2 linked regions of the Drosophila melanogaster genome follow. The protein of the gene in region 1 interacts with the protein of each later gene in a pairwise test. Each region holds a gene or a part of one and is shown in the gene's direction. Other genes may lie near its edges. The genes, in order: CG13733 and CG15059.

Region 1 (16,125 bases):
CCGCTTCCACTGGCTGCTTGCCATCTTCTAGGCTGCTCTTCAATGGCTCTTTTGTATGTCAGCCCGGCTTTGGGGCTACGAGCAAGTCAAGTGCGATTTCTGGTTCCTTAATCGCTCGCAAACGGTTGCCATCCAGCTCCAGCATCCAGTCCCCGATATACAAATACATCTCGAGTGGGGCTGCTTTTGTCCGTCCAAAGAGAGAGGGCGTGTCGCTGGAGAATGTGGGAATCCATCTCATATGTATATTCGTGATTGGCATGGGGAATCGGGGCTGTTCGAGTGGTCTGGGGAGTGTCGAGCACATGATTTCGAAGACAAGTTCAGCATTTGAAAAGATACATATGTCTGCTCTGGATGAAGTGTGTTTTATTAAGCATTGTCTGTTGTTCATCCTACTTAGTTTGTGCATTTGCACAAATATGCTTCCGTTAGAAATAATCTTGTAATCATACGATGAGTACTATCCCTTATTTCAGTTCTTAAAGTGAGAAAATTAGCAAGATACATTGCATGCATTTTCTGTATCTTTTGGGACTACTGCTAAATCCGTTTGAGTTATTCATAATGTAAGGCCAACATCTGGCTGATAGTGGCGACTAAAGTTAGTTGACTAAGGCGGTAAACACGACCCCAGCCCAGCTCAACGACAATGCATGGCCAGGGCCAATTCCTAACTGTGTTTTTAGGCCAACTTTCAGTTTCTCGAAATGCGAATCGAGGTTTTCATATCAAATGTGGCCGCAGCCAGCGGCCTGAGACGCTCAAAATAAATGCATAATTAATGACGATTTGGCTGTACGTATTTGTTTCTCCAGTTGATTAGCATAATGCCAAATACATACAGCACCATATAAAATTATCAGCTTGGGCTTGTGAATAAGACTTATTTTTGTGTACAACTTTACACGTGCTCTGGCAAACGAATACAGCAATATCGAGCCAGTAAAAATCGATATACAGTGACTAAACTTCTTGAAAATTTCCTTTGTGTCAACGATGAGTAAATGTGTTTTTTACCCCGCTCTCTTGGCCAAGAAATTTATTTTAAACGTCAGGCAGATAAAACAAATGTCAATCCATCAGAAGCGAAGAGAGTTCCGAGGAAACGGAAGTTCTAAAGGATGGATATGTAATGGGTGTAATATAAGGTGGTATATAGATATATACGTGCGATCTATGTGAAACTGTCTGCCAATATTTGGACAATAAAACCATTTTCGCTTCGTTTCGTTAATCAATACAGAAAACTTTGTTTTGTTATTGTCTTTTTTTCGCTTTTGTTCATTTTTGTTATATATTTTTTTTTTAGAATATTTTGTATGCCAAGAATTTAAATTAGTAGAAAATCTGGTTTGTGATTTCGGGTCTGTTCTCTCAAGTTCCCCAACTTTTTTCTCATCTCCATCTGTAGCTCGTCTTCTCACTTCTACTCGATTCGTGTTTTTGTCTGCCGCTTCTCAACCGATTTCTTCATTTTCTGCGACGTTATTACAGGTGAATTTTGTAGTTCTTTCCCAGTTTTTGTTTGTATCTTTCTTTATTTTTCTGGACTTGGGGCGCATGGCGAAAAAAAGAGCGGAATCAAAAAACAAATTAAATGAGTTTGGCTGAAATCGAAATGCTTTGGGCCATTGATCATTTATTGGTCGGCGGAGGCGATGAAGTTAAAAGGAAACAATGGAAAAATATGGGAATGGCGAGGTAGACAAAGTTAGCTCCGAAACTTTGGTTATGGGAAACACCATAAATGGGTATTTTAACCATTTAAATGAAAATTTCTGTTAATCTAATGTTTACACAATCATTAGCTTTAAGTTTAGCTGTTGCACTATATACGTATTATTGTAGTATATTTTATATACAAACCTATTAATTAAACATATTTTTTAGGTAAACCAAACATAGAAGTCAAAAATGAAATGGAAGAAGCCACAATGAAGTGAATTAATTTATTTCAAATTGTAGCACTCATTTGACTTTCTCTATGAACCTGAGCAAAATAATGTAACTTCATGAATTTTTAATTTTGCTGCGAAAAAAATAACTTCAATTCGAGAAAGAATAAAGTGATTTCTCTGTCACTTTCAGATGCGTTTCCTGCTGTGTGTTAACGTCGTTTTAAGTGTTTAATTTTGAAATCCAAAAAATAAACGGCTCTGTAAATGTGTACGTATTCAATGCGATCAAGCAAATATATATAAATGGATAATAAAAATCGGTGATAACGAACCCGATGTGGGTCAGACGGAAAAGAGTGTTTCTTGCTGGTTTCTGGCCAGAACAAACACTCATATGATTGAGGTACAAAAGTGAAACTCTGACGCTCTGAAAGTCGGTAATTCTGAGTCGATAGTTGCGGTGCGGTATAAACATTTACATTTGATTAAACAGCGTTTATTGACTGTTTTCGTTTTTGCTTTTGTTCGGCCTTAATGCATTTCGCCGATATTCGGCTTTCGTTTTGCGAGGACACAAAAAGAATGCGGGAAAAAAGCCCATCCGAACCCAACCCATCCCAACCCGGTATCTGTATCTGCATCTGTGCATCTTTATCTGTGCGTATTTATTTTGGTTTTACGGCATGTATGTAATTACCCGGGAACCGAGTAAAGCAGGCAGAAAAGACAGAGAAATGGAGTGTGTTTCGTATTCTTTGGCCGGTCTCTTCTCCGTCGCGCGTCTTATCATTATTTCCGAGTGTGTATTGTGCGCTTTCTGATTGCTCTGCCCCCTTTTAACCTTCGTATTTAAGAAATTTCTTAGCCCATTACGATTTCACTCAATACGGCGTATGATTTTTGTAGGCCTTCCAACAAAAAATTACATGTTTCACTTTCTCTGGCGCCCGAATAGTCCCCCCCTTCGAAAACAGAAAAATAACAAGAACCGCGTCGAAGAACCAAAAGATAAATGCTTAGACATCGTCTGCCCCTCTCTATTTTGTTTCGAAATATCTTTTCGGGGTTTCTGTTTTTGTTTTCCCCACATCAATCAGAGAATGCTTCGTTCTTTCCATTTCTCTTGTGGGCAAGCATTGAAAAGGGAAATTTCTTTAGCCCAATTAAATGAAAAGAAACCAAATCAGGTTATTCCATGAATTTTGAGCTTATTTCTGGTTCTGCATGTTTGTTTGGCACTGATCGTTCTCTTTGAAATTTTATTTCGCCACAAGACTTAAATGCATTATACAAAAATTGTTTTTGGGAAATACACATTTTCAAATAAACAAATTCTATATATATGCAAGTTGAAGTAATTGTTAATTGGGGTTCTAAGTAATATTCACTTAAGCAAAGCTCTTATACTCTTATACTCTATTATTGACAAACCTAAATTGCCATCCAACTCTAAGTTCTTAAGTTGTCACAAAAAGTTGTCATTTTATGAACATATACAATTTATTTATTAAAGCTGTACTTACGCTTATCGCTCCTGTTTCGCTTTCTGGTTTTGTTGAATTTTTTCATTCAGAATTTGCTACGCAATTTACGCGTTTAATTTGTTGCTGCCTCTGTTCGCCGCACTCGTTTTTCTGTTATTTCACACACAATTTTTTTTATTTAATTGCACACATAATGAACAATATTAAATGCTATATTCGTATGTTTGTGCGTTGAAGACACGCACTCAGCCAATTGAAAATTGTATTTGCGGTTGGGTTTCAATACAACAAATTTATCAAGCACTCACTGAAAATGGAATTGGCACTTTAATTTTTTGTTAAAATGGTCTGAGGATCTTAACAATGATGTATTTATTGATTAAGTGTGGTTTTAATGAACTTCAAAAACGAGATTATTTAATATGTTATTAGTTTTATTCGTTTTCGTACAAGTTTCTTTAGGTTTTTGATCAGACAAATTTGTCAACCAGTTTTTTTTTTTTTAATATTTTTATAGTGTGCGAAAATATTTGTATTGAGCGTTTAGAAATTTAATAATTTTTTTCTGTGACTTGCACGACGAAAATGTGTGGATTCAACTGGGTTCTTGGACACAGGTATCTTTCAGGGAATATTGGAGGTATTGGGAACCGAAAACGAAACCGATTCGGAGCGGAGCGGAACCGAAAAGTCGAGCGACGCGTGCACTTACAGCGACGTCTGAGCAGCAAAAACTCGAGAATAACCAAAGTGCGGCTCAATTTATACGAGGAGTCGAAAAACACAGACCAGAAGATACATTTACAGATGCAGATACAGATACGCGTTCTCTTTGTGTTAGTGTATCTCAAAGATACTTCTAACCGTCACTCTCTTACGCTCTCTCTTCGCTGTGGGGGTGGTCTGTCTCCGCTGTTATCGTTATTGCCGCTCTCTCTGCGCGCTCTGTGTGTTTTGGTTATAAAAGTGTAGTAGATTTTTGGCATTTATCTGTTTTTGTTTTATTTGCATATGTTCAATATGCACGACCCACATTGTTGTTGGTGTTGTTGTTGTTGTCTGATCGCGGCGTATAGAAATAATACGTATACACATGTGTATATATACACCGAATGTACATATTATCTCTCTCGCCCCCCACTCGCACTCACACACACACACTCTCACGCACCGCACACATACAGTTGCACCGCCTGAGTTCCGCTGCCCGTCGGCACAGTCCGCACACGGTAACAATTCGAATACGAATACGCAAAACGGTCTGGCGAACTGAAAACAGCCAAAACTTTTCGCCTGCGCCGACGTCGACGTCGGCAGCGCAGCTGTTTGGAGCTGTTGGGGCTCTGTTAGGCCCCCACGCTGTTAGGGCTCTGTTAGTTCGGCTGCTCTCTCTGTTTGTTATCAGTGGCGTGCGCTCTTTTATCAAATTGGAAAGGGGATTTTGGAGATCAGACAGATCGACCTGGGTTAAACTTTCAGCATACCGGAATATTAGAATACATTACGTTTATAAGGGAATAATTGAAGTGGTTTTGATAGAAGTACCAATTCTTTCATAGAAAGACCTTTATTTTGATTGAAATTCGACAAGTTTGACTTTCTCTTAGCTTGGCTTAGTGTTTTTTAACTTACGAATCACATGTAGTACACAATATTTATTGTTGCATATGTACAATAAAATACATTTTCTGCAAATGACTCAACCAAGATTTTTCGTCTGGGTGGGGTGGGTAATATAAAAAAGTGAAGAGAAGTGATGGATATTCTAAGTCTATGATTCGATTGATTAATTTCTTATTATGAGCTATACATTATTTTCACTAAGGCATGAGGAACAGCTTAAAGCCTGAAAGTTTTGCATTTCAAAGAAAAGTGTTTATGATGAGGAATTTTGGTGGTTTAATGTTCGTTACATTAATGCTCGTTACATTTTAGTTAGTTCCAGCGAAGTACTAAAAAGGAATACTTTTTGCAAAACGTGCTAAATAGTTTCTATAAGTTGCTTTGTGTGTTTACCAAGTGATTTTTGCGATTAAGGGTTATCTCTTAGGTTATGCATCTGCTGTCTGTCGGTGCAACTGACTTTACAATATAGTCTACAGTCTTGGAGGCTAATGGAATTCAGTTTGCGAAATTCCTCGAGTAACTCTCTGGTCGCCTATTAATATTCATATGTGCAAAGTACGTATCAATTGCATATTCGGCGCAAGGTCGTCTGCCAAGCGGCCAGATAGATAGGCAAACTGTCAGATACGCGTACTCATGCAAAGTCTGTGCGCAATAATCAAGCAAATTGAGTGCAACGCAGGCGATGGCGCAGCCGTATCTATTGGCTACTCTTTTGGCAAACTCCCATCGATATCGGCTCGATTCGCAGCTAGACGGCTAATTACGTGACATGTTAGACGCGAAAACAAGTTAAACACGCTCGTTCGATTTGTGTAATTAATTGCAGGCCGAGACGAGCGAGAGCTCAAAAACAAATTCACCTCGAAATGTGCATTGAACTTTTGCGGTTGCTTTTCTCGCCGCCGCCGGATGAATGTTGTTTTCCCTTTTCGGTGGCTCGCTTTTTTTGTAACCAATTCTAGTTGCAATCCGCTGCTGATAACCCGCAGATGAACCCATGGGTGTTGGAGCTTCCACATTGAAGGGGGTTACGCATTCTGAGTGGGCTTGTTGGTGGGTGGGATGGGGCACGAGCAGCTGATGCAGCTGATGTGTGTGTGTCAATGTTTCAGCTTGTAAACAAACGGCAAGCAAATAATGACAAAGTCGACAACGAAACTCCAAAAGTGTTCCTTATTGTTTGTTGTATTGACTACATCGCTGGGCTTATCGCTAACCGTTGTCAGATGGAATAAACATTCACATTTATATGTGTTGCACACAATGTGGTGTGGTATGTATGTGCAGTGGGGCTTCCTTATGACGAACTTGTATATTACATATATTCCTATAAATATTAGGTATTTTTATTGCTAATAAAATAAAAAGTAGAAAAAGCAAAAGCTTGCCATACAATTACTTTTACTAATTCTTATTTCTTTAAGCGATTTCCCTAATTGTTGTTAATTTTTAATGAGCTTGATATTTTACTACTGAAAGGGGAATTGGATGGGGAAATGTTCTTATTTAATCTTGACTGAAAGCAGGAAGCACGCTTATGAATTGGATGAGTTTGAAGCGAATAGAACGGATCAAAAGTCGGAGCTGGCCTATAATGTGTGTCAGTGGTGATAAGCAAATGCGGGGGGTGGGAAAACTATTGTATAAGATCTGAACGGAGTCACTCGATTCTACTCCTCGATCGAATACAGTTTGCATTCGTTATAAGGGTACTTGCCTCTGCCACTCCGAGTCGCCCCATTCCCCGAGTGTGCCTGCCATGACTAATTAAGTAACCAAAAAAGTATGAAAAGAAGGCAAAAAGCTGCTCAAATTCTCAGCATTAAAACGTGCCGACAACTTTGTAAAGGCTGCCAAAAATGCACATTTTTATTTATATTCGCACACAAGTTGTTGGGACATGCTTTTTTGGAGTTGGAATCGATGCGAAGGGTAACTTAGCTGACACGTGAGATTTGAATTTAGCATTTGGGATAAGTGGAAAATGAGAATTATCTTGAAAGTATCTTTATTCGGATACTATTTTAATATGCATTTGATTTTTGTCAGACTAACCATAAAGATTAATCTTTAAATATGAATTAATTAGTAGGTAATAGTAACTAACAGAATAAGTACAACAAGATTTCTTAAGCTATAAGAAATGTAAATATTTAAAGATAATACGTATGTTTAAAAGAGTTAGAAATAAATTCGAAATGAATGTGAATAGATGCTTTTTATAGTCTAGCCAATAATTTGTTAATTATTTCTTAAATAGTGAATTTGCAATTGAAAGTTCCAACCATCATATTAGAGTACCAGTGGGTGTGTTTTAAGGGGCTGAAAGTCGAATTCCTGCCACATGGAGTTTCGATTCCTGGACTCTTCTGCCCGTGTGAATCATGAGCATTAAGCATAAAACCGACATTTAGCTGATTGATCTTAATAAGAATTTTTGCGGCGGGGCGGGGCATTCGGGCGGAGGATGGCTAACGGATCCGTTGGGACGGGTCAATAACATTGTGCGGATGCCTCCTTCTGATTCTCCCCCATATGCATCCCCATATGGATCCACCGATGTTGAGTCCCTGAATTTGAGGGCGTTGCTGGGCTGCGCCTGCGCAACATAACAAACTTTGTGTTTGTTTCCCCCACTCGATGGCGTTTCTTTAATAACTCAGAGTCGAAGTCAGAAATTTTTGGAAGCGAGTAGGAGCTGGGGGGTTCCCTTGTCGGAAATCTGAGTTTGCTTTGCTGAGTTATGTTGCATAGGGTTCTTTCATCCGACTTGGTGCGCGTTTGTATCTCCCAGTATCTTGCGATATAGATATATCTGCGATTTGCACCCAGAACGGATGTCTGTGCTCGATTGTTAAATTGAAATTTGTCGCCAAAAACCAGCAGAATTTGCAAAGCAAATTTCCGACCGAAGTGTCTGGCCTGTTGCATATTTCATATGTTTTGATTCTTGTCTAAAGCTACAGCTTTTTGGCGATTCCTCTGCAGATTTATGCGCAAGTGCTTAATCGAGGCAAGGATACAATAGAGGGTGGAAAAACTGTGCCAAAAACAGCAGTTTTCATTTGAAATCTTCGATAAAATGCAAGACTTCAAGAATTTCAGATTCTACGGTTTTTATTTTTATTATATACTATCAAATGAGGGTATTTTCAAGTAATTATTTCTGATTTATGCGGGTAACCATATTTTTTCTAAGAATATTTAGTGCAAACAAACAAAAAGCCCATAAATCAATTCACTTTTATTTGACTTTTCGAGTGCATTTGATTGTTGCTCTCGGGGTGAGCAAATTGCGCAATATCTACGTCGATTTTTGGCCGTCTAGCAGGCAAATTAAATCAAGCTGCACAGCCGAACACGAAATATATAACCTGATTTCGATGTCTGCAATTCAAATTAAATGCAATTAAACCGAAATTGATAGAAACAAAATCGAACGAATCCAGCAAGCTCTGCGTCTGCTTCTCCATTTTTTTTCCACGATGGCACTTGACAGCTCCTCCTTCTTTTCTGTTCTGATTGCCTTTCCTTCGTCCTTTAGACATCTCAAATTTCGTCTAGCCGAAGTCTACGCTTCTAAGGGGCTTATAAAAAAAAGTATATATAAAAAAGAACGAGACAGAAAAAGGCCCTGGACTTCTGGTTTGGGTTTGGGGTTCGCCTGTCTGCTCCCTGTCTGCTGCGTGGTTCCTTTGTGCTTGGCTTAGATGCTAGTCGGGTTTGGACCTTTTTTTTATGTTGTTTGGGTTAGTCTGCCGAAATTCTGGGTCTTTGTTTTGATTTCGCATTTTGATATCATCTTTCGGCATGTGCAAAGGGGTCGGAGGGGTGTGAGGGAATGTCGCTCTCAAAGCCGAATTTTGTATATATTATATGCGGGATTTATAGAGCTGGCAGTTAGTAGCGAGTCTGGTTGATGCAAGCCAAATTAAATAAATAATTAAATTATACATTTACAAGTATGGAGTTTCCTTGCCTATTCATAATTATTATTTATATTTAATACATTATTAATCTTTTACTGTTTTTATTATCCCTGCTGATTCACTACACAAGAATGCTGTGCTATTTTTGTAAAATAATATTATACATAGTTGTATAAAATTTATTTATATGTTTAAGGTTCCACATAATTTTTCGTACTACAAAAAACCCAATTAAGTTCTTGTTTTGTTTGGTATAGTAGACATACAATGGCTAAATTAAAATTAAAAATTAAAATTAATTAAAATCAACATTTTCAAAGGCCTTGTTATCTGAAGTACCACAATTACATTGTACCCTTTTATAGCCTTTTAACTATTGTCATTAACTATATCAGTGATAACAATTTTATGTATTTGTATTAATCTCTCATTTCAACTACTATCTATCGTTACTAACAGTTTTCTGCCAAAACGATTTTAACTTTTAATTTGATTTGACTTTAATTATTAGGCAAAGTATCATTGGAATCTCTTGGATGAACATCATTATGGTATTTAAAGCTCTTGATTTATCAGATTTCATTTCTTTGTATTAGAAACGTAATCAATGTGAGTTATTTTTATCATTTTTATTTATTAAAAATTTTAAAATTATTATTATTAAAATATATGTATATATTTGATCCGCAGATGTTTTCGCTCATCTCTGGCGAAAAATTACTCTTCCTCAATCTTTTGGCTGCCGAAAAAGTAGCCAGACGAATGTCCACATGTGCCGGGTATGTTGTATATAGTATCTGATGTCTGGACTTTTATTGTATGGCTGACCTTGAATTTATGGAAATTGCATAAGTGGGAAGAAGTTTGTCATATTAAGAAATATACTGGAAGCATAGAAAGCCGAAGGCAGTGATGGTGACATAAACGACCAGACCTTGGCATTGTGTTGAAGGACTGTGAATCGAATTATTCGAGGAAGTTGCTTGAATTATGGCTCAAGGGGGTACTTTGAATTTATGAGTATTCAGGATATTAAGAATGTCTTTTTTTTCGCCGGCCAGCACCATCCATCCATCTTCCACACCCCGAAAACCAAACGAAATCCGCTTCCTGCTGCCAAATAATTTACAACTTGCGAATGCGATGCACAGGCTATGGGAAGAAAACAAATAATGATCAGTCGCACATAATGCATGCATATATCCATGGGCATATCGATAACCCTTATCAAGTGTGCGGCATCGCGGCCAAAAATATACAAATTATGCTTACCAAAAGGCAGAGAAAACATAAATCAATGGTTTTGGAATACTCTAACCAAGACAGCAATGTATGAAACTTCAAACATTTTTCCTTATTTCCAAATTTACTTAAGAGATATTAAGATAAGTATACAAGAAGTGCAAATTTGTTGTACCTACTTAAATATTCATATGCATACATGTATGTACATACATATATGGTTATTTGCGTGTGGTTGGTCGCCTCAAGTGATGGGCGTGGCACTTTCAACTCTGGTTCAACCCATACAATCATGAAAACTCTGACCAGATCTTGCCAAAAATGAGCCCACCTTGAACCTGAGTTTATCAAATTGCAGTCATTTTGCTTGTGGTTTTTATAGTACTTTCAAATAACTGAGATTAGTTGGTCAGTATCGTTACAAAAAAAAGGGTAAAAGTGATCGACTTTTTCACTTTCCGCCAATTTGAGGATATTTGCAGAGATTTGAGTGTTGCATGATTCATAATCGAACATTTATATCATAAAAAAGTAAACAGTTCAGTTGCTTATTTATTACGCAGAATTGCCTTAAGAGTTCAATTAACCATTAAATATTTTTAGAGGTGAAACAACGTTTGCCCTCACTTAATCGACAAAATTTGAACTAATTCGAATAAAATTAAGAGTCAGAACGAATTCACGAGTGGCTAAATTATTGTTTAAAATGACCAAGGGCGTGAGGATTTGCAACGATGGATTGCCTGGTTTGCCGAATGAAAGGCCATATTCCCGAAGAACTTTAGATACGCGGCAAAAGACTCAGAAGATGTCCTCCAGGCCATCTAGGAAACCATTGCAGTCTCTACAAACTGTCGGTCGGAATACGAGTTCCAGCCTGAAGCGCATAGGAAGTCCGATCTCCGAGGAAGAATTTGGTGTCCTGGTGCAGCAGGATTGTAAGGCAGAGCAGCATCACACCGATCGCCAAAACCTGGCGGACATAATCCTTATGCAGGCCCGTCGCATCGAGAAGCAGCAGCGGGAGATGAAAAGAATAAAGGCGCACTATGAGCGCCAGGTGTCCACCATCAAGAACAATGCCATCATGCTGGAGTCGCATCTGCAAAAGGTGCTGGCCAGTGTCGAAAGGGATCGGGCCAAGCGGATTGGCCACCACTGCCAGGACATGCTCGGTGCCGTGGAGAAGCTGCAAAGGAGCGACATCCAAGTGAAGCCGCAATCTTCGGCCAACCAATTGCTGATCCAGTATCTTCACTCCAAGAAAATTTCGCATTCGACCAAGAAGTCCAATGAAAACACAAGTAGGTACAGGAATATGTTGTGAATCGTATTCTTGTGTGTACATTGTGGTTTCACTGGGTTTTGTGGTCAGCTTAAATTAGCATATATGTGTATTAATAGAAGTACAAGTTATTATAAAATAAAATAATGGCAACAATGAATTTATTTTATTTTACTAAGTTAATTCTCAACAAGGACGGAGTTGGGCACAATCATTATCTGTTCTATTCCTCGTCCTCCTCCGAGGCAGTTACATCCACGATCGCGTTAGACATGCTCTGTTGTATCTTTTGCTGGACATTGGCGTCCTGGACCAGGTGATCTGGCTGGATGTAGCACAAGTTGGCGCAGCCGAGCACCGGGCATCGGATGCCAATGCGGTCCATTATGATCGGCATCACCGAGTCGCGGTCGTAGATGTGACCGCACATTTTGTTGCGCATGGGGTTCTTTATCAGGGCCTTGGACCAGGGATCGTAGAACGAGAAGACCTCGCTGCCGGAGTCTTCCATAATAAGGTCCTCATCATAGGCGGTGCCATTCGCTTGATCATTGACTTCCGCACCCGCCTGACCAGCTGCTGATTCAACTGCTTTTACGAAGTTCTTGAACTCGTGTAGATTCTTGACATTGATGCGCTTCTGCTCCACCGCTTTGGAGCGTTCCTTCCAGACTTCCTCGAACTCCTCGATGGTGGCGCTAGAGTTTTTGACCTGATTCATAGCCTTGTTGAGCGATTGGTGCTTTATCTTCATATGGACTACATTCACGGCGTGCTCCACGCTCTGCTCAACGCTCTGCTCGAGCAACTTCTTGATCTTCCCGCCATCGCTGAAATCGGACACGAAATCTGACATTTCCTTGAAGAACTTTTTGTTTTCCACTAAAGTGGAAAGTGCGGAATCAGCAAGGTAATTGAATTCCATTTTATCCAGAATATTTAAGCCAAATGTTCAAGACTGATGGTTAGTTAGGCTAGCCTATTAATTAGTGGTCTTTGAATGGACTTATATTTATAAATAACGTTGATATTTACCTGAAATTAGGTTTTTAAGCAAATGCCACGTGGAATGTAATCGCTTAAAAACTGGAATCATCGAGAATTTATCGTAATTTACGATATCGATCTTAAATCGAAAGCACAGATTTTTCGGTTTTCGTTTCGTTCGAATTTTTCGATTTGTAAAACGGGCACTTTTATCTGGTCGAAATAAAAAGTAAATGCCTTTTTTTTATATCAAATCAGATCTTATTTACAGGGGAACAAATATCGAAGGTTGCCATTGAATTGCGTAATCAAAAAAAATTTCAATTACCGGAGCATGCTTGCATAACAACGTTTTATTTAAGTTTTTAAATGTCAGATCTCGGATTCCCCACTGAATGCCTTCAAAATCCCAATAGACACCCCAATCTTGAAGCAATTTTCCAATAGACAAGCCGTGTGTTTTGGACTACCAAAATTTCATTCGTCCAGCGCGATGCCATACCACGATCGAGCCAAAGCCCGATTGGAGAACGAGGTGGTTCTCCTGCGGAGCGAGGTGTCCTCGCTGCGCTCCAAGCACAACCAACATCGTAAGTATCGGCAGGAGCAGGTGGTTCTGCAGGCGCGTATGGAACAGGAGATCCAGCTTCTACAGAGCGAACTAGCCGCAGCTCAATCGAATCGGAATGAGCGGGAGTGCGGTGGAGCCGAGCAGTGTTCAGTGTTGAGCCAGCAGCTGGAGAAACTTGACGAGCACGTGGCTAAGCAGGAGAAGTACATTGCCTTCCTGGAGGAGCAGATCAATCTCACACGTAACAAGTACCAGCAACGTATGACCGAAGTCCGGCAGAATGCCGAACTGGTGGAAAAGGAGATGAAGCGGGTGCGCCGCGAGATGAAGACCATTGCCGAGCAGGCTGGGGAAGTGGACAGCCTCAAGAACCAAGTCGGTTTCCTCACCGCCAAGCTGGAGCGCCGGAACGCCATCATCTCCAGGTACGAAGCCCAGCAGGAGGAAATGATAAGTATCATGGCAAGTCTCCAGAAGAAGAAAGTTAAAAAAACGCGCCATCAGAAGATTCACAACAACCATGACGATAAAGCTGATGTCAGATCGATCCCTTCCGAACAGCTACCAATGCCCAAGCCGAGTGATCAAATAAAGCATCGCAAGAAACGGAAATTTGGCGAAGGCGATAAGGAAGATTCCAGCTCGGCGGGCTCTGATAAGCCACCAAGTTTTGAGGCGAATCCCAGGTCTTCAAAAATTCGATCCCATAACTTGGACTGCCTCTCCTCTGCGCTGAAAAATAAGTTAAGTAACCAGCAACAGTCAACTGTCGAGGGATGATCTGATTTCGTACCCATTATCTGATGGATATTCAAATTTATGGTTTTTAGATAAGCTTTTTACAAAATTTCTTCTGTAACCGAATATCTCTGTAAAAATTGTTATGTACATACATATATAGATCTCTTATGAACAGTAAATGATTAAACTAACCAAACGGAACTTCAGTCAGCACTTCGTTTTCGACGGGCGTCGGAGTTCCTGGAACTCCCGATTTACAAGTTCATTGACAAGCTGCTGGATTATCCATTCAGCAGTATGGAATCGGGTTAATGATCCGGCTTAATGGATGGCTTTATTTTGATTTATTTTGTGTGGTAAGCAATAGCTTAACTGCATTTGTTGGGAAAGTTTGAATGATCCGATGATGTAATTAATACATATGAATATGTATTAATCAATCAATTATTATTGTTTAATGCGTAAGTTGTGCTTGTAATAATGGTCATTTATTCACGGAAATTTCTAAGAAATGCATATGTTCTCTGATTATTATAAACTAATAATAAACTACTAAAGATGTAACTTTTTTGTTTATATTAGTAAGCTGTGAAGTTAGGTAGATTTTCAGGCTATATGAAGGATTAGACAGTTGCAGGACTATCAGTTGATGTTTAAGAATATTTATGGGATCCTTCATGTTCGTATAAGCAACACTAATCAGAAGAATAGGTAGACTTGTCTCAGTGGCTTATCCGAGGGCTTAAAGGTAGTGCTGCTATTTCTAGCCCTGCAATCAAGTCACGTTCGCTGGGTGTTCTAATGCAATATTTTAGCATAAGAGCACGTACCGCAGTATTGCATAAATTCTGAAAGTGCCGGGCAATGAGTCAGTACGGGATTGCAGAATGGAGCCAGCTGAAGTCGGGCGTCTATTGAATTCTAATGCTGCACCAGGAAGTGCGTGCAGACATTGGGCAATCAATCGCCGGTCAATTGGAATCGTTTGTGGATAGCAATTGAGTGTGATTGGATATGGCTTCTACTCCGGCAATTGGGGCAAAAGTTCAACAGTTTTTGGATGAGAATGCCTGTTCCAAGTAGGACTTACTTCGAGTATTCGAATAACCTATCTTATCGCAAGACAGCTTGCCAAGAATCACAGTCGCCTGATGATGAAATTAACAAATTCTGGGCTCTATTTTTTTCTTCTTTTTTTTTGCACGATCCGTGGAAGTCTCGGGGGCAGTCAAACCAGTTCACCCGGCCTTCGAAAACAATTATATTTTTGGGGTTGGGCGTGTTGTTGTGCAAACACCTACGAAATAACACGATGACCCTGAGACCGAAAAAAGCACGAGTACGTTCTAGCACCCAAAATATTACACATATAATGTACGTGACGTCACTGCCTCGAGGAGTGCTCCAAAAACCATAGAACTGAAACAAGATGCAAGGTGGCTTGTGGTAGTTATTATTAATCCTTAGCGTACATTACATTATGAGATATATTAAACACTAAACTGGATCCATCTACGTGACAGAAAAGCTGCGAAAATTGTTTTTCAGCAGCATGACCACGAAGAAAATGCCCACGGCAATCGACAAAAGCTGCACGTTGACCACCTTTGAGTCCACCAGGGCCTGTAGCATGTTGTGGATACTTTCGCTGCGCACTTCGTTACCGCAGCAGTCCATTAATGCACTAATATCGGATCAATAACCAATTAGAACGCCAATATTTTGCTTGCAAACAGCTGTGCGGTGGCTAGAGGTGGGGCTATTTACTTTTCTCACTCATCGATTGTTTCGGGTGACTTTCGATGATTGATTCTCTGCAACTCTAGCGGGTGACTATCAATGCTAAGACCGTTACCGAATATTAAAAACAAGTAAAATTTTTATTTTATTATTAAAACGTAATATATTGCCTCCATGTCGTGTTTTTTCTTTGAAATTCTCATCATATGAATTTTTTGTTATTTTATTTTGAGACATTGCAGGGCGAGATAGCTTGGACTCAAACCAAGACTGGGGAACAGCTGATGCAGCTGCTCATCCAGAAAAACAAATTCTCTCTAGAATTGTTTAGCAAACAGAGCAATAAAACTGATAAAATAGAACATAAAATTATCCCATGTGTAACGTATGAGTACAAAGCCTTTGGTGTTTAGCCTTCCAGCAACCGAAACACACAACTCTCTTGAACTGTGGGTTTAGTTTTATTAATTAGTTTAACATAACTATCTGCTAGTTGGGACGCTTATTCGTCGTTCGCGTAGTCAGCGGGGTTCTTGCGCAGCAGGGCGGTGTGCTTGCGTTCGGTCAGATCGTAGATCAGGTATCCCACGATGAAGGCTGAAAAATTGGGTATTAG
Region 2 (16,178 bases), on another chromosome or scaffold:
TCCGCATCGGTATTTGAAGTCGAACTCAGTTTCGGGATCCATCGATTTTTATATCCGAAGGTTAGGTCGAGGCCTTGTTCCATGTCACTCTCAATTTCAAAATTCATTTTCAATTTGAGTTTGATATTCTGTTGCAGTTGCAGTTGCATTTGCAGTTTTAGTTTCAGTTTCAGTTTCAGTTTCAGCTGCCATATGCCATCTGCATCTCAACCGCTTTTTGATGTCTTGATTGAGTTGCCAAATTGTGGCCGACTTGTTAGCAAAGCCAATTAAACGTAATTAGCCGGAGCAAGAACAGTTCAATTACAGTGCAAAGTCGGCCATAGACCATTGCAGCGAACACCTGATACCCTCTCCCGGTAAAAGACAGGAACTAGCCATCGGATTCCACGGAGGATCTACCGAAGTGCACTGAGAAAAAAGCATCCAGTGGTACTTACAAAGCTTTTAAAAATAAGTTTAATTAAGTATTATAATTATATTAACAACTATATTCAGTCTCCCTTGTCAAGTTTTCCATTTATCAATTGAAATAAGTATAAATTATTTTTAAGAGTTCTGAAGATTCTTTACTTATATTTAAGCCAGTAGAGCATTCAATAAAGTTAACTTACCCCTTTGCTATGTTTTAAATTGATCTGTAAAAGTGGGAGCCAATAGGTGTTGGAACCACTTTGTCATGGTTGGTTCTTAATGATAATAAAATTGCGGCTATTTGCGAGTGGCACTGGACAGGAACTGTTGAAAGTGCCAGAGTCGAATAACAATTTGGTGGACATATCGGCACCATAAATAATGCAACTATTCCACTGTTTTCCGTTCAGTGTAGATGATGCACCGATTCCCGCGATGAATGCGAGGATGAGCTCGCAACGTATGTGGGTACAAATGCCAAATTGCAACTGCAACTGTCGACTTCTTTTGAGCCGGGTAGTGCGGAGTGCTGAAGTGGGGAAGTGGGTAGTGGGTGATGGTGATGGCCAGTGGGTCTGCCGATTGGATTGCGAACTGCGAACTTGGGACTGCGAGTGCAGCTTCTTGGCGGCAAAGTCGTGACTTACCCTCGCCGCGATCCGATAACCGCAGCTGGGAAAAGGAGAAGAGAAAAATTTACCCACCAGCAGGATATATTTAAGACCACAAAAGACCACAAATGTGTTGGCCAAAAGCAGCAGCAGCAGCAACAGCAGCACCAGTATCAGACGAAGACGAAGACGCAGGCGGCGATCGTCGTCGGACTGCGAAGATGATGATGATGAGGCACAAAATCCAAAAAGCCAAAACCAAAACCAAAGCCAAAACCTCTGGGCCAGGCTGAATCTGAATCTGAATGCTGGAGCGCTGGAAAAAAAAGCTGAGTTTCCGAGGCCTTGCAGTTGATTAAGCGGCGGCAACAAATTTGCATATTTCATTGAGCAGTTCAATCAAATGGAGGACAGCCCAAAGAGCCTGGCTGGCTGAAACGAAACGTGGCCGGGTCTCTGAGCTGTTGGGGACACCAGCTTGTATCTTTTTCTGCTCTTTTACTTATTTTTTTTTCTTCTGTTTTTGGTGGAGTCTTGGCAGTTGTGGCCGGGGATCCAATCCGTAGGTTGGGGAGTCACAGTCACAGTCGGCGGCGACAGATTCAGATTCGCAGACGAGGCGAAGGCATTTTTGTCGTTGGTCGAGATGCAAACGGAGCGATTAGGTCCGAAATAACTCATTCATACGCAGAGACGGCCAGAGGAATGGAATGGAAAATCGGAGGCTATTGCCCAGGATGTGGCATGTGGCATGTATGTAGGTATGCTCGCTCTCCCGCTCCCTCTCTGCTTCGCTCTCGCTCGCTCTAATCTGGGGAATGCCATCGCAGGAGCCACAGAACAATGGCTCAGCGGATCAGGATCTCCGAAGGGAGGAGCAGGAGCAGGAGCAGAAGGTGGCGGTGCTGATGGAGGTGGTGGTGCAGTGCTGCAGTGACGGCGACCAAGATGGCGAGAGATCAGCCATCGGCCTGCCAAGATGGCGATGTCTCCGTCTCCCCACGGCGGTCGCATTTGCATAACAGCCGGTCGCACTATCTGCATCTCCGTCCCACAGCCTCTAGCCGCATCTCTTTCTTAATTCACTTGCCCTCTCTTTCGCGCCCTGCTCCCTGCTCCAGCCGTCTCGCTCTGTCTGCGGCTCGTCGGAGCGTGCTTAATGCGGGCGGACACTAAGCCACGTGTGAAATTCAATCACCAACTCAGCCAGCCGGCCGGTCAGCCAGGATCAGCTTGTCTCACTCTCACTCGGCAGCAGAACCGCGAACCACCGCGAACCACCGAGCACCACCGAACCATCGAACATCCGAACCATCGAACCACAGAGGCAGTGGCTCGAATATCGCCATCGTCATCGTTATTGTCGTCGTCATCGCCTGGACACCTCGTTAGGGGCTCAGCAAAAGGAGCACAAGGAGCCAAACGGGGCAGGAGGAGGAGCAGGGCCAAGCGGCGTGGGGTCCATGATTCCAGAGTCCCAGAACCTGAGCCCAGAACCCAAGACGGGGCTCGCTTCACTGCGGTTTCGGTTTCTTCCGCGGCAGCGGCAGCGGCAGCGGTGGTGTCGGTTTCGGTTTTCATATTTTGAGGTTCACCGATGTGTTAACAGGCGGCGGCTGTCGCATATTAGGCTGCCCGTCCCCCCCAAACCGTTCGCTCTTACCACTCAACACTTACCGCTGACCGCTTACCACTTACCACTTACCACACTTACCACACTAACCAGCCAATGCCGATATGCTATATGCTATAATATGCATACTCATACCAGCCAAGAACCACCATCGCCAATGCCAGGGGCCCTTGGCAAGTGTCACGTCGAGCACATAAATTAAATACACAACAAGTAAAAGCGATGGGCAGTGCGCTTTTTCGACTAGGAGATACCTTGATGCCTGGCAGAACTTTTATTAAATTGTTGGCAAATGATATTAAATGGTTTTGAGCTACAGATTTGCTCAGCTCTATGCCACCAGCAAACGCCCTATGATTATCAGTTTGGATTAAAACAAACTTCGTGGTCTTAATTTGAGTTACTTCTGCTAGCTTACATTGATAGGTTTAATAAAAAACATAAAAAGGAATTGCTGAAATTTTCAACTAACTTAATTTAATATTTTATGCCACGAAGTCTCCAGCTGTAGCTTATCAAAATAATCAATGATATATAGATTTATTATTAAATGTATTCACATTCCTTGGTTGAATATTTCAATTTAAGAAATACTGACATGATAGTTTCGTTTGATATGGAATAATTTAACTAATTTTAAGTACAAAAGTATAACATTTTTTCCTAAATATACTATTATTTAAACAGTTAAGCTACTTTTGTTTTGAATATTTTCAAATTAATATATTTCTGTGTAATTTAAACCTCTCCCTGTAAGATATAAAATCTAAAAAAAAAAACATACCCATACCAAACAGTATGGTAAATACATACTGGGAGGGTATTCCACCTGCCCCACCTGCCCCACCTGCCCCACCTGACCTCCAGACCTTATAGACCTGCCGCTTGCCCCGTCGGCTATGCCCGATGGTCGAGGTAGTGTATGGGATGCCCAACTCGGACACGAGAACATGAATAAGCAGCCGATCGAAACGAGCACAAGACAAGATAAGCAGATAATTTTCTAGCTCCAGCTCCGGACTGCGACTCTTGGCCGCCGGCAGAGGCAACAACAATGGTAGCGAAGACGACTCCAAATTGGACCACAGAGGCTGCTCCGCTTTTCGACCCCTCCATCTCCTGCCCATCCAGCTCTGCCAGCTCCTCGTGCTGCTCCTTCATACTGACCCAGTGCCTGGTACCCTTAACAGCGACATGATGTTTTACTAACCAGCGAACGGCAACCGGCAACCGGTGACTGGTTAAGAAGACGGGCTGCTAATAATTTGTGTTCGCGACGCCGCCGAACAGGAAAGCCGGGTCCCGAGTCCAGAGTCCCGGTTCCCTATGCCAAACCTCGCACCCCACCACGTTACTCGAGGACAGGACCGCCTCACAATGGATACGAAACCGAAACCGAATAGCCGAATGATCGGGATCAGGGGCTCCCCTGCATTTGGGCCATTGTCGTCCTTCGTTTCGTGCTAAACGTGTTGTTGCCAAATTGTGAACAAGATTCATTCATGTTTCAACACATTGAGCAACACGGAGGAGTCGTCTGGGATCGGTCGGCTCCACTTGGGATGTGGATGTGGCTGTGCTCCCATCCGTTGCCAGTTGCCGGTTGCCGGTTGCCAGGGCCATCAACCGTCGTCAGCCTGCTCGTGTGAACAGACGCCGCCTCATCATTCCGTAGCCCCTTTATTCAAATCGGCAGGGTTGGCGCGCTGGAGTTGGGGGGTATATATTTGGACAACTTTGATCTATAAGGTCCGCGATGAATGAAATGAATCCGGGTAGACAGTAATTAGGAAGGGTTGCGTCTCTAAGCTTTGAGGCCATACGAATTGCTAGACACACTGAGAGAGATCCACTGACTCATCATCCATGGCACTTTGACCCTCCGTAGGGTTCTAAGCCTCTGCAGCTCTACGTTCGGAGTTCTGTGTTCTGGGCCAACCGGAAACGTCCGACATTCCAGCGGCATTCCACCGCCACAGTTGGCCATAAAAAAAAAATGAAATAAAATAAAATAAAAAAAAAAAAAACACACCAGAGAACAAGAAAGAAATACACACGAAGTGCGCGCTCGTTTATTGTGTGCCTGAAGATGTTTCTTATTATGAAATTAGACTGAACCTTCGGCGACACTTGGCCAGCGCTCAATGAATGAAACCGAAATGAGAAATGAATGATATCATGGGCATTGTTAGCTGAATCCGATTCCCTCTCCCTCTTCTGACCCTGGATCTACCCAGCCACAGCAAGCCAGCCAGCCATCCAACCATCCGATCCCTATCCCTATCCCTATCTTTGTCCCTAACCCAAAAACCAGAGCCTGCGGGTCGGCCTGTCGATCCCAGGGACCGGCAAACGAGAGATCAAATGCGATAGCGCCACGAAAACGAGCCACCAGCAGCAGCAACGTGTTGCTCATTTAGCTGGCAGCCCAAACGCGGCCATAATTCAACGCTTTTGATAACTGCGTTAGGTTTAGGCACCATCCCATCCCAACCCAAACCCATCCCATCTAGAGATCCGAACTCCTTTCGAGCGACGCGGCGGCCCAGGATCGGCGCGCGTCAGCACTTGGAGGGACCGGAGACCCAAAAAACCCAAGAGGCGACTCCCCAGGCACAGTGGTTGAAAATTTGGTTGAAATGCCTTGGTCACGTAGTTGAATAATCATCAGTTTAATGGCAAGCATTCCATAGGGATAAATCAGGATTCAAACTGAACTTATTGTACTTAAGACCTAAAGTGTTGTGAATAAGGTAACATACATTTAATCGCAGACTAATCCTTTTAAATTTATTTATATCAGCAATAAGATTTTGTTATTAAAGCTAAAGGTGTTATATTGTAATATTTGTATCAGTAACTTACCTAGTTTATACACCTTTCCATATTCCCAGAGTAAAGCGCTGAATACCCTGTGTCAAAATAACATATATTATTTACTTCTATCTAATGCTTACAGATGAAACGCTACTACTTGCCCCACTGTGCCTTTAAACTTGGCCTGCCTGGCTGTACAATTTGATTTCGGTGTTGTTTGCCTGGCGATTTGTTGTGTTTGATTTGCTGCCTCGCCGTCCTGTTCCATCCTGTTGAGTCCCCAGCCGCTCCACCCTCGCATCCGCACATCCTCGCTTCCTCGCATCCACGCACCACTGAACCACCGCACCACCGAACGCAGCTCTGTCGCATTCCAGCGGTGCCGCAGCGCTTACATTGTTCGCTTTTTCGGTTCATTCAAATCCTTTCGGTAAAATTCTTTTGTTTGGTGTCAAGTTTAACAAATATTTGCGGCCTCTTGTCTTGTTTGTCCCATGTTCCTCGCGTGTTACTGCCGCCCGTCATTGTTCGGCATCTCAGTTGGACAGCGTGGAAGTGGCTGCGGTACATTTTGTATGTGCGGCATGGGGGCGTATGAGTAATCAGTGCCGCCCGCAATTAGTTCGCCTTAGACAACTGGCGAGCTGAAAAAAATCCGCACCGAGCCCCAAGGAGTGAGAGTGAGTTGCAGTTGGAGCTTCGTCCTTTGCTAGGCAACAACGATTTGCTTCCCATGATTGGCCAAAGTTATTGCTGTTGCAGTTGCAGTGCCATTGTTGCAACTCTCTTATCGGTGGCTTTTTCGAGCCTTTGTGCGAAATTTTTGACTCCCTGCTGTGTGAGTCGCACAAAATGCCACAAGAACTGCTGTTGCTGCTGCTGCTGCTGCTGCTGCTGCTGTTGCTGTTGCTGCAACAATCTGCGGAGCAGTGCCCCCTGGTGGGGCATTCGGGGGCGGGGCAGGCCCAAGTGGCACTGCTAGCCAATATGGAGACTTGCAACTGCTGCAATACCAGGGCCAGGCAGCAACTTCCACTGCCGGGCTGCAACTGCAACAAAATGAAACCGTAATTGTTTGTTTATTATGGCTCTGAGCAGTTGTTGTTGCAGCTATCGCATGTTATTGTTGCTGCTGCCGTTGTATTGTTAAATGTTAAAGTGCTACACAATATTTATATTGGCATTGTCTGCAAGAGTTGGCCATCGTCGGTTGCAGCTGAGATCGCACTGCAAATGCCCTGACTTTTAAATATTTAGTTGGATTTTTAGAAGGGTCAAATAAATATAAATATATATAGAAAAATATATATTTTAGTAAGGTATTTCAAGGTTTAAGTGCACTAGGGTTAAAATTTAGATTTAGCACCCAAGATGGAGCCATATTCCAACTTTGATAAAATTGATATTGAATATAGCTGATAAGCAAACAAGCTCATTTTCAGTTTTTACATTCAGAAGATAATGATTTAAAGTTTTGCTTTAACATACCCCACATGGCCAGTGGACCCGTGTGCATCTGCAGTGTAGCGTGGAGTAGAGCAGGCCGAGATTACCATCGGAGACACCCTCGCCGACGCACAGAGGGGAACCCAGCGATGTGTGGCACTGCTGACACTTCAATGGAGCCCCTCTTCTGGCGGTGGACGAGGGCGTGTGGACAAGGGGGCGAGGAAGTGGCACTCCGAGGTTGCCTCATGCTGTGGCGCTATGCTGCGATTATGGCCACGGATTAACTTCCTCTTGTGGCCATCATCATTGTGGTTATTGTTGCTCCTGCCACTGCCACTGCCGCTGCTGCTGCTGCTGTTGTTGATTTCCGATTGCCGCGCCTGCCTGCACTCGCACCTAATTATATCTAATTCGAGCGAACCTGAACTGAAACGGAATCCGATTCCGATTCCGACACCGAGTCCCGCGATGCGAACCCTTGCCGCCTCTTAGGCGCTGATTGCGCTTATCAACCGATTACGGCGACGTGACTGGGTGGCGATAAGAAGGCCCGTGGCGATCGGACACGCTTCCCTTGAAAATTAGCCCCGCCAAGCCTAGAACTATGCAATGCCAGGGGGATCATTTCATAGCTAGACCCCCCCTCATAGGCAAAAGTCGAAGGAAGATAAGAGTTACTCAAATTATTGCATCCAGAAGTCTCTTCAAGCAAGTATTTGTGGTATATAGTTATATATATAAAGAGGACTAGAGCGCTCGCAGACTTCAAAGGGTTTTGAAATTTAATTTGAAAATTTCCTTATGGATCTTATGGTCTTTTAAACTCTTTTCTTTGTTGTTACACATTAAACAGTAGATCGATCGGGCGGCTTTCAAGATGCCTGTGCACTCTCATCTGGCATTTGATGTGGCAGCATCTGTATCGGTATCTGCATTTGTCTTTGTATCTTAGTCGTACCTGGGCAGGTCTAACACCTTATAACACCCCATAAATCAAGTGCTTAACCGTTTTTTACGATCGCCACGTTTCGCAAGGCCCCAAAGACCTTTTGGCGTTTTCATTGTATCTTTTCCCTCTTATTTTTTGGCTAAGCTCCCCTTTGGCGGCTACTAAACCGGCGGCAAGGTCAACGCGTCTCTTCTTCGCTTGTGCAACCCCTGACATTGAGCAATGTGCGCGAATGGGAGGGAGAATCTGATGCTGACGGAGATGGGGGAGTTCCACTGGTGACTGGACAGGAAATGCTCGCCGAAATGACGTCTCACTACTACCACACTCAACTACGCAACGCTGGTGACATTTTTCTCCACTTGGCGTCGGCGCGTTGACAGTTTCAGTTTCAATCGCCGTCGAGACGAGTCGACTTTTCCCACTGGCGGCAAAGTAGAAACGGATCCCGAGAGCGGCCCAACAATGCCCCGGGGCCGTGTTAATAGAAACGTTCCGAGATTCGACAGAACGAGGAGCAGTCGGTGTCGACCATGTAGACGGAGCCAGCGACAATTCCCGGGAACTCCATAAAAATAGCTAAACGTGCAGGGGCCGCCCAGAACTCTTCAGCGTTCAGCGTTCAACGCTCAACGCTCCCCGCTCATTTCATTTCACTTCATTTCATTTCAATTGACCGACTGGATGGCATTCTTTTCTTAGAGCATTTTCCTGCTGCTGCTGCCCAAAAAGGGAAATTCACTTTCATCTTTTCAATAGACAGCCGAAGCGTAGAAACACCATGGATCAGGATCGGGACAATCAGCTGTGTGGGTCCTTTAATGTCTAAATCTTTGAGGCTGATTCCTGATGTGTCATACCGCCCAAGTCTTGACCTGCTGCTGCGTTGCTCGCCCAATGTCCTGATCTTCGATCTCTGATCCTTTTGGGCCCTTTGTTCGCTGCTAACTGTTTCGGGCCGGGCCCATCCCTTTCAGCCTCTCTACCTCTCCCTCACGCTAACCTCGCACTCGCACTCGCATTCGCACGCTCTCTTTCTGGCACTTTGTGTGCCGTGTAAATATTTTCCCAGCATCCTGCAAACGTTTTGACAGTTTTTATTAGATCAAAAAACCGGCTACAAGTGGCGTGTGATAAATTGCGGCCAAAACGCAGCTAAGCAGAGATGGGCCAGCCCAGATAGACGAGTACGAGTACACACACATAGGTAGGTGATAGGCACTGGAATATGGGAATGGGAAATGGGTATAAGGGTCTAGGAATAGAGGAAAGATCAAGTGTCGCTCACTTGGCTTCCCTTTTATTGTCTGATGATAAGTCGTGACTTTAGCACACACACGCATTTCTCCCCGTTGAGTGCCAGCAATTAGGGCATCCCAGAGTCCTGTTCTCTCGAGCATCTCAAATCCGTTTACCGGCATTGTGTTCGAAATTTAAGCACTCGAATTATTAAGACAATAAGATTTTATTACTGCCACAGCAATCAGCGTAATGAACCCTTCTGCCCAGCAGATCAACCCTACATCATGCACACATATCGCCGACTTGTCCTGTTTCTTTCTTGAGAGCGCTTTCTGTGCAGATCATAACTCATCATCGACATTGTGGCGACGGTGCGTTTGATTGATGAACTGACATAATACTCGGCACACTCACAGCTCAAATATGCTGGAGCTCCATCATAAGCCAACCCCAATCCCCCATCCAATCAGGGAGGCCGTGCTGAGAACGTTTGAAAAGAGCCCTTGCGAGCCCCACAACTATTGTGATTTTTTTTTTTTTTTTTAAGACAACACATTCCCCATCTCGTTGCAATAGAATGCCAAATTCGTCAGTAATCAGCAGGGTGAACGCGGGATTGGCTCGCTGTTTGAGCCACCATCGGCGATTGTGTCGCGGCATTGCCGAGCTGGACCGGCTCATCCACAACGATGAGTTCTTGAAGGATCCCAGGACGCAGTGGCTGCTCCATCAGCGGCGTCAAACCGAGGAGGAGCAGGCAAATGCAGATGCTAGGATCAGTCCGTTGGGCAGAATGGGTTGTGAAATGGGTCGTCTGCTGGGTAGGTCCAAGATAAATCTGTCCCCGCAATCCCGAAAGGTGAGTAGCAGTACTGCAATCCAACTGACTGGACGACCGCTGAATGAGCTATCTCCCCCACAGAACAATCTCGTCGTGACCCGGACCTTTTGCCAAATCCTCCAAGTTGAAAACTCCACACCCAGAAAGCAGTCGGGACCAATGCCTGCTCCAACTCCACTGCCATCGCCAGAAAGAAGGCAGAGTCTCATCTTCAGCGCTAGCCTGTCTCGTCCTGAGCCGTAAGGATCCTGCTCCAAGATCAGTCAAAGTAGTTAGGCATGATATCCTGTAGAGATACACTACCAAGCCTGGCAGAGATCTACGATATGTATAGATAGATCAGTGCAAGGCTTGGTAGGGTTCTCTTTGAGATGTCTCTGTGGAAATAGCCCAGAAACGACTGAATTTATATCCCACACAACTGAAGGGGCAGCAGGAGGATGTGGACTACCAGGAGGAAGAGGAGGAGGTGTTGCCCCGTCCGTCGTTCAGTATCCGTGCTGCTCTCGTTATTGTTATGAATAAGTTAATAACATGGCGGAAGGCTTCTTTTGTCGTGGCCCAAACAAGCAACAACCTGGCAGGCAGCGCTTATTAAATGATTGAAGCCTTTGGTGGGGCGAGGTGGTGCTGGAACTTCGACTTGGACTTGCTCTTGCTCTTGGTCGTCCAGTTGGACTCAAGCTGGGGGCCCCCATAAAAAAGGTGGAAACCTGGTTCTCGTTTCTTGATCTTTTTTTTTTTTTTGCTCCCCCCGTTGCTGTTGTTGTTGCCCACTCTTTTGAGCGCTGTGGTTTTTTCCCTTTGCGTCCAGCGACCACCATCAATAACAGAGCCCGGGCCATATTTATGATTTGTTAAGCAACGCCGAACGTGCGAAAGGATAATCACAAGCGCCTGCTGGCACGCCCCCCTTCTGCCTTCTGCCCCTTTTTTATTTCGGCGGTGGAGTGCGGCTTATGTTCGCTTTCGTCGTGTGTGAGGCATTTCCAAAATTGAGTCAATGACTTTTATTTTTACGACTCGCCCTGAGAGTCCAAGTGTCCAAGATGGATGGATGGACGGATGGATATCCAAAGCTGGTCGTCTGTTCTGGCCTGGCCTGGCCTTTTGGCTTTTATGGGACTGCGAATTGAGCTATTAGACTGGCGCAGATTGGGTGATCGTAGTAGTTATGGCCAGTTATAACAGGTGCCCTGCTCCAGATCCACTCGAACTTTGACCACCAGCGTTGGTGGTTGGTGGTAAACGCCCTCGATCCCGATCCCGATCCCAATCCGAATCCCTAGTTGTTGATTCCAATCTCGTCCACTCAACGAAATCAATTATGTACTACAAAATTGTACAAATCATTTTCGTTCGACCTCCAAAGTGTTTCAGCTGCCAGGGGATCGAAAAAAAAAAAGAAAGAGAGAATGGCAAGGATGCAGCTGTAAGGATCGCACATTTTGTGGCATGAGGATGATGTTGAGATTGAGGACGAGGGCAGGAGTCGAGGGCCCTTTGACACGCTCGCGGGATTAGCACGGAATGAGCGAAGGAGGGCCGGGGGCCTTGTTTCGCCGGAGAGCTGTGAAAATTCCTGGCATCTTTAATGAGCGCCGGCTTATCAATGGCCTCCGCCGTCATCCGCTCCACATCCCATACCCATGCCGATGCCCATACCCATATCCATTCGCAGTACCATTCCCATTCCCAGCCGCAGTCGCAGTCGCAGTCTGATTGTTAACCTTTGAATCGGGGCATTAAAAAACGTTAACAAGCTGCGTAGCGCCGTCGGCGGCGTTAATGTCGAAATTGGCGCTGGCCCAGGAATGGCCAAGATCGGTGAACTGGAGGTGGAGGAGGAGGAGGAGGAGGAGGAGGAGAATGAGTATGCGGATGGGAAGGAGAAGTGATTCCAGGAGGGGAGCAGGAGATCGGGGCAACTGGGAACTGGGGCCTGCGACTGGGACTGGGACGAACGTGTTTCTTAATGAAACAAAGCTTGAATTTTAAATGAGCATCATAAAGAACAATGAAAATGCAAGGAACAGCAACAACAAAGCGAGACCGGCGATCCGTTCGATGGACAAACACTGGCGGAGAAGTGAGCGGAGAGGGAGCGGTGGCGGGGCGATGGAGCGCGGACAGCGCGAAATAAAAGCGCAGAAATGTTAAATAAACAATAAAAAACAATCCGCTGCCCCACCGCCCCCTCGCGGAGTCTGTCAAACTCGGCCAGCGGATTAAGCGCGGCCTGCGCACAAGACGCACCAGAGATGGATATGGCAGCGATCCCAGGCGATCCCCCAAGCCCCCTCCCCAGACCTCAGCCCCGATCCGCCCGTGCTCCACTCCAACCACGTTTCCCCAAATCCCCGAAACCCCTCATCAAGCCAGTCCGGAGATGGAGCAGGATGGGGCGAAGTCAGGAGGAAGAGCGTTCCAGCTGACGCGCCGACTGCTGAATGTCCTGCCACAAGGTCTCCGAATTGTATTGTTACCATTCAAGTTTTTAATATAAATACCTTCTAGTTAAATAGTTTTACCACCTATTCTGAATTTTTATAAATAAAGTTGTGAATAAGTTAATTAAAAAAAATAAATAGTAATTACACAATTGAAAATGATATACTTTGATATTGTGTCAGATATGTATATTTGATGCACAGAAAACAATTCTATATATAAATTGTTATATTATAACTATAAAGAAATATTAGTGATATAAATTTGATAAAATATTATTGAATTTACCATTTAAAAGATTGTAAGCTTTAAAGGCTCAAACTAAAGATCTCCATGGGTTATACCCTTCAAGAAGTTAGGGTATCGCTCGATAATCATGTGGGTTGGGATGTAAAACTTTTGCCGTCGCCGCTTTAAGGATTCGCAAATGATTCTGCGGCCAAAGATGAAATGAAACGGGCCCAAAAGGATCGCGGGGAGCACAAGGGGCAGCTGGCCATAGTTGATTCTCTGGTGCTGGCCATAATTGGTGCTCATCTTAATGGCATTAAAATTGCATTATCGCTGTATTTATTGAAACGGTTTGTTTTAACAAGATTAACTCGACGATACCGGCAACAACAACAGCAACAACAACAACAACGGCAACAACAATGGTGGAGACCACAAAATGATTAACAGCAAAAGCCGCCACAAACGAACACCAAAAAAAAGATACAAAAAAATACAGAAAAGAATGAGAAAACGATCCGAAAACAGCGTTAAAATACGTGATATTTATGTGGTTGCTGCTGTTGTTGTCGCTTGATTGGCCCCATCCATTGTTGTTATTGTTGTTATTGTTGCTGCTGCTGGGGGTCATAAAATATTTATAACATAATTTCATATCATTTTTAGATGATTAGATTCAATAAGGCGGCTTCCAGTTGAGCAGCTGTATTGGATTTGAAATGAAATGCGCCCGATATCATTTGTATCTTTTTGTATTCGTACTTCAAAGGCGCTTATCTACTCCGGACTCGGGGAATGGCTTGCTCCTGGGAAGCCAGGAGCACCAGAATAGCTCATACTGAGTCAGCTCGATGACGCCCACATGCATTCCCAGAACCCTAGTTTAGCAAATCGATCGATCGATCCATCGATCGATGATGATCCAATACTGCAACCCTTTTGCAAATGATTCCGGGAAACACTCATAATTATTATTTATGCATACAAATTAAAAGCAGAGCGCAGTATTTGCCAAAAATCCGATTTCGATCAAAGCGCTTATTTATGACCGCTCTTCTGTTCTCACTTCTTGTTACCCCGTTTATATTTCATCAGGCCGCGAAATGCCAAAAAACAAAAAAAAAACACAAAAATACAAATGGAATGGAATGGTATGAAAGAGTTTGGAATGCGTTTGCCGTGGGCATGAAATGCCCTAGTCGAGATACAGATACGTGTCGCCATTTCGATTGCTTTCCATTTCGAAATTGCCGTTAGGTTAACCATTTTTAGGGGCATGATGTCGGCACATCCAAATTTGGTAGCCATCCATTCATGTCCAGCGATTAAAACTTCGAGTGCTCCCGTTATCAGGAACCAATTTGTTAGTGTTCTTGACCTTAGCCTTGGTCGGATGATTGGATGTTCGGATGGCTGGATGTTTGGCCAGTTGGCGTAGCCTAAGGTTGCGTTACCGTTACCAGGGGCTAGCTCGGAAGTGCCCCATCCGCTCCAGATTCCAGATTGACGCATCCACTTATCACCGGCTATGGCCTACCTGTGACCGTGCGTCAGCGGCGACAATTAAATAGATTGAATGCGGATTGCGTCGATTTATGACCTGGCAGTGGTACTCGGCACTCGGCACTTGGCACTTGGCATTTGCAATTGATTGTCGTGTTGCCCAATTAAACTTATTGCGCCTGGGAGTAAATGAAATGTCAAATAAGTTAATTAAGCAATGTGGATGAAAAGGGGATTGGGAATAGGAATGGGAATGGGAATGGGAATAGGACGAGCCTCCGTTACGGGGGCGTGTTGCTGCGATAAGACGAGCAGCGATGATAACACCGGACGACCTTGTTGCATCAGCAACAGGTGGCGCATTTGTGTCCGCTGCACAGCGAGAAAAGTAAGGCGATAAGATAAGACCAGCTTGCACTCATTCAACATGCAAGTATGTCAGTATGTTATAAACGATATAAATAGATATTATAAAGTATAAGTTCACACCAGAAGTTCTCCGGCTAAGATCAGGAAATCTTTGTTGGATTAAACGTAATAGCATTAAGAAAATAAGGATTAAATACGAAGATACGATTATGTTGGGTGGGTCTGGTATGATATAATTGCAGCAACTTTTGTTGCAGTTTTACACGATGAACTTTTAACAGCAGTTTAATTATAAAGTATAGCTCATTTCACTTTCAATTTTTGTATTCAAAGGGCACAAAGTTCTCTACCCAGATTGTGCCAAAAACAAAACCTTATTAATAAGATCATTTTAATAAGAGCATTTTCAATACATTAAATTGTATTTCATGATACATATTTAACCAGCTAATAAACGTGGTCGCTGTGCAAAATGAAATTGCTTTATTGCCGATAATCATTTGGTCCCATGATCATCATTCCTACCAAACAATTTCGCACGCGAAGTGTGTTTCGATTAGATTGCGATTGCCGCACTGGCAGCCCGTCCCTGTTTCTTGCCGTGTAGCCAGCCGTATTATAGTCGTGTCTCCCGTGATAACCACCGATACAAATTACCACTGTATCAATACCAATATGCTCGTAACCACCGAGCTGGTGGTGCTGCGGTGCGGCTGACTCATCAGGTGGTTGCCCCGCTTAGCGACACACACGGCGCACTCTGATTTTCCGATTTCGTTCGGCGCTTTTTGCGGGGGCTTCGATTTGCTGCGCTCGCTGAGTTGGCATCTCACCTGGCGGCGGGCTTCCAATTAACAAATGCGAGTCGCGTGCCTTGACGTCATTGGAGCTGCCCCTCCACTACACAAACAGCAACACCCCCCCTTCCCTTGTTTTTTTGCCCCAACAGCTGTGATATACAAAGGTCGCCGATCGATGTTTACCCCACAATTCCGCGAGAGACATGAGACAGCTCATGTTTTCAGCCGGCTACGTCAGCTGGCGCGATTTCAAGAAACCTAAGTGTGGGTGATCTTGGGGGGTTTTCGAAGATAGTGATTGCACATTGTGAAATTCTATTGTAGTGGTGCTTGCGGGTGGCGATGGGAACGGTGTGTGGTGTGTGGATAGGGGGTTGGGCTGTAAACAAGTAGGCCTGGTTGCCAATTGCCATGAATTGAATGCAACTGAATTGAACGGAACGGAATAGCTGGTGGTTTTTGCATTAACTTATTCCAACTTGACTTAGGTTAGGATTTTCCAGCGCCATTCGATAGGTAATATTGTGAAACTATGTGCTATAGGCACGCTCTAAAAATAGTCAACCATTGGTTAGGAGGGATTAACCAACACGATCCGGTGATCTTGACGAGCTATGATTTTCCGCGTTCATTAGGGGCTATTGATTATTTTCCAGCCAATACTGGTTTTTATTTTTAGCCCTCAAATATCTGGTCGTACTACCCGTTTTTTTTCCACCCATACGCTTTGTGGGTCAAGATGTTTCGCAGCTTGTGACGTCATGAAAGAAGCGGCGCGTGTTTGAAAGCTAAGCTCTTTTTTTCGTATCTTTTTTTTTCGCCATGTTGCCAGCCAAATATAACTCCACTCTCTAACTCTGTGGCGTCA

Evidence for each region.
Region 2: the proteins of CG13733 (region 1) and CG15059 interact in a two-hybrid assay, tested with the Drosophila melanogaster proteins (2 studies listed by BioGRID).

The regions. Positions count from the first base shown.
Region 1 is NT_037436.4:17,475,632-17,491,756, reverse strand, and holds CG13733 (uncharacterized protein), read left to right. Parts: upstream 1-12,830; 5' UTR 12,831-12,950; coding exon 12,951-13,808; 3' UTR 13,809-13,962; downstream 13,963-16,125. Other genes in the region: CG6333 (uncharacterized protein), read left to right, coding at 10,892-11,512; qjt (quijote), read right to left, coding at 11,694-12,395; CG34250 (uncharacterized protein), read right to left, coding at 15,131-15,188, 15,286-15,446; UQCR-Q (Ubiquinol-cytochrome c reductase ubiquinone-binding protein), read right to left, coding at 16,012-16,106.
Region 2 is NC_004354.4:18,252,963-18,269,140, reverse strand, and holds CG15059 (uncharacterized protein), read left to right. Parts: upstream 1-9,623; 5' UTR 9,624-9,692; coding exon 9,693-9,974; intron 9,975-10,037; coding exon 10,038-10,199; 3' UTR 10,200-10,590; downstream 10,591-16,178.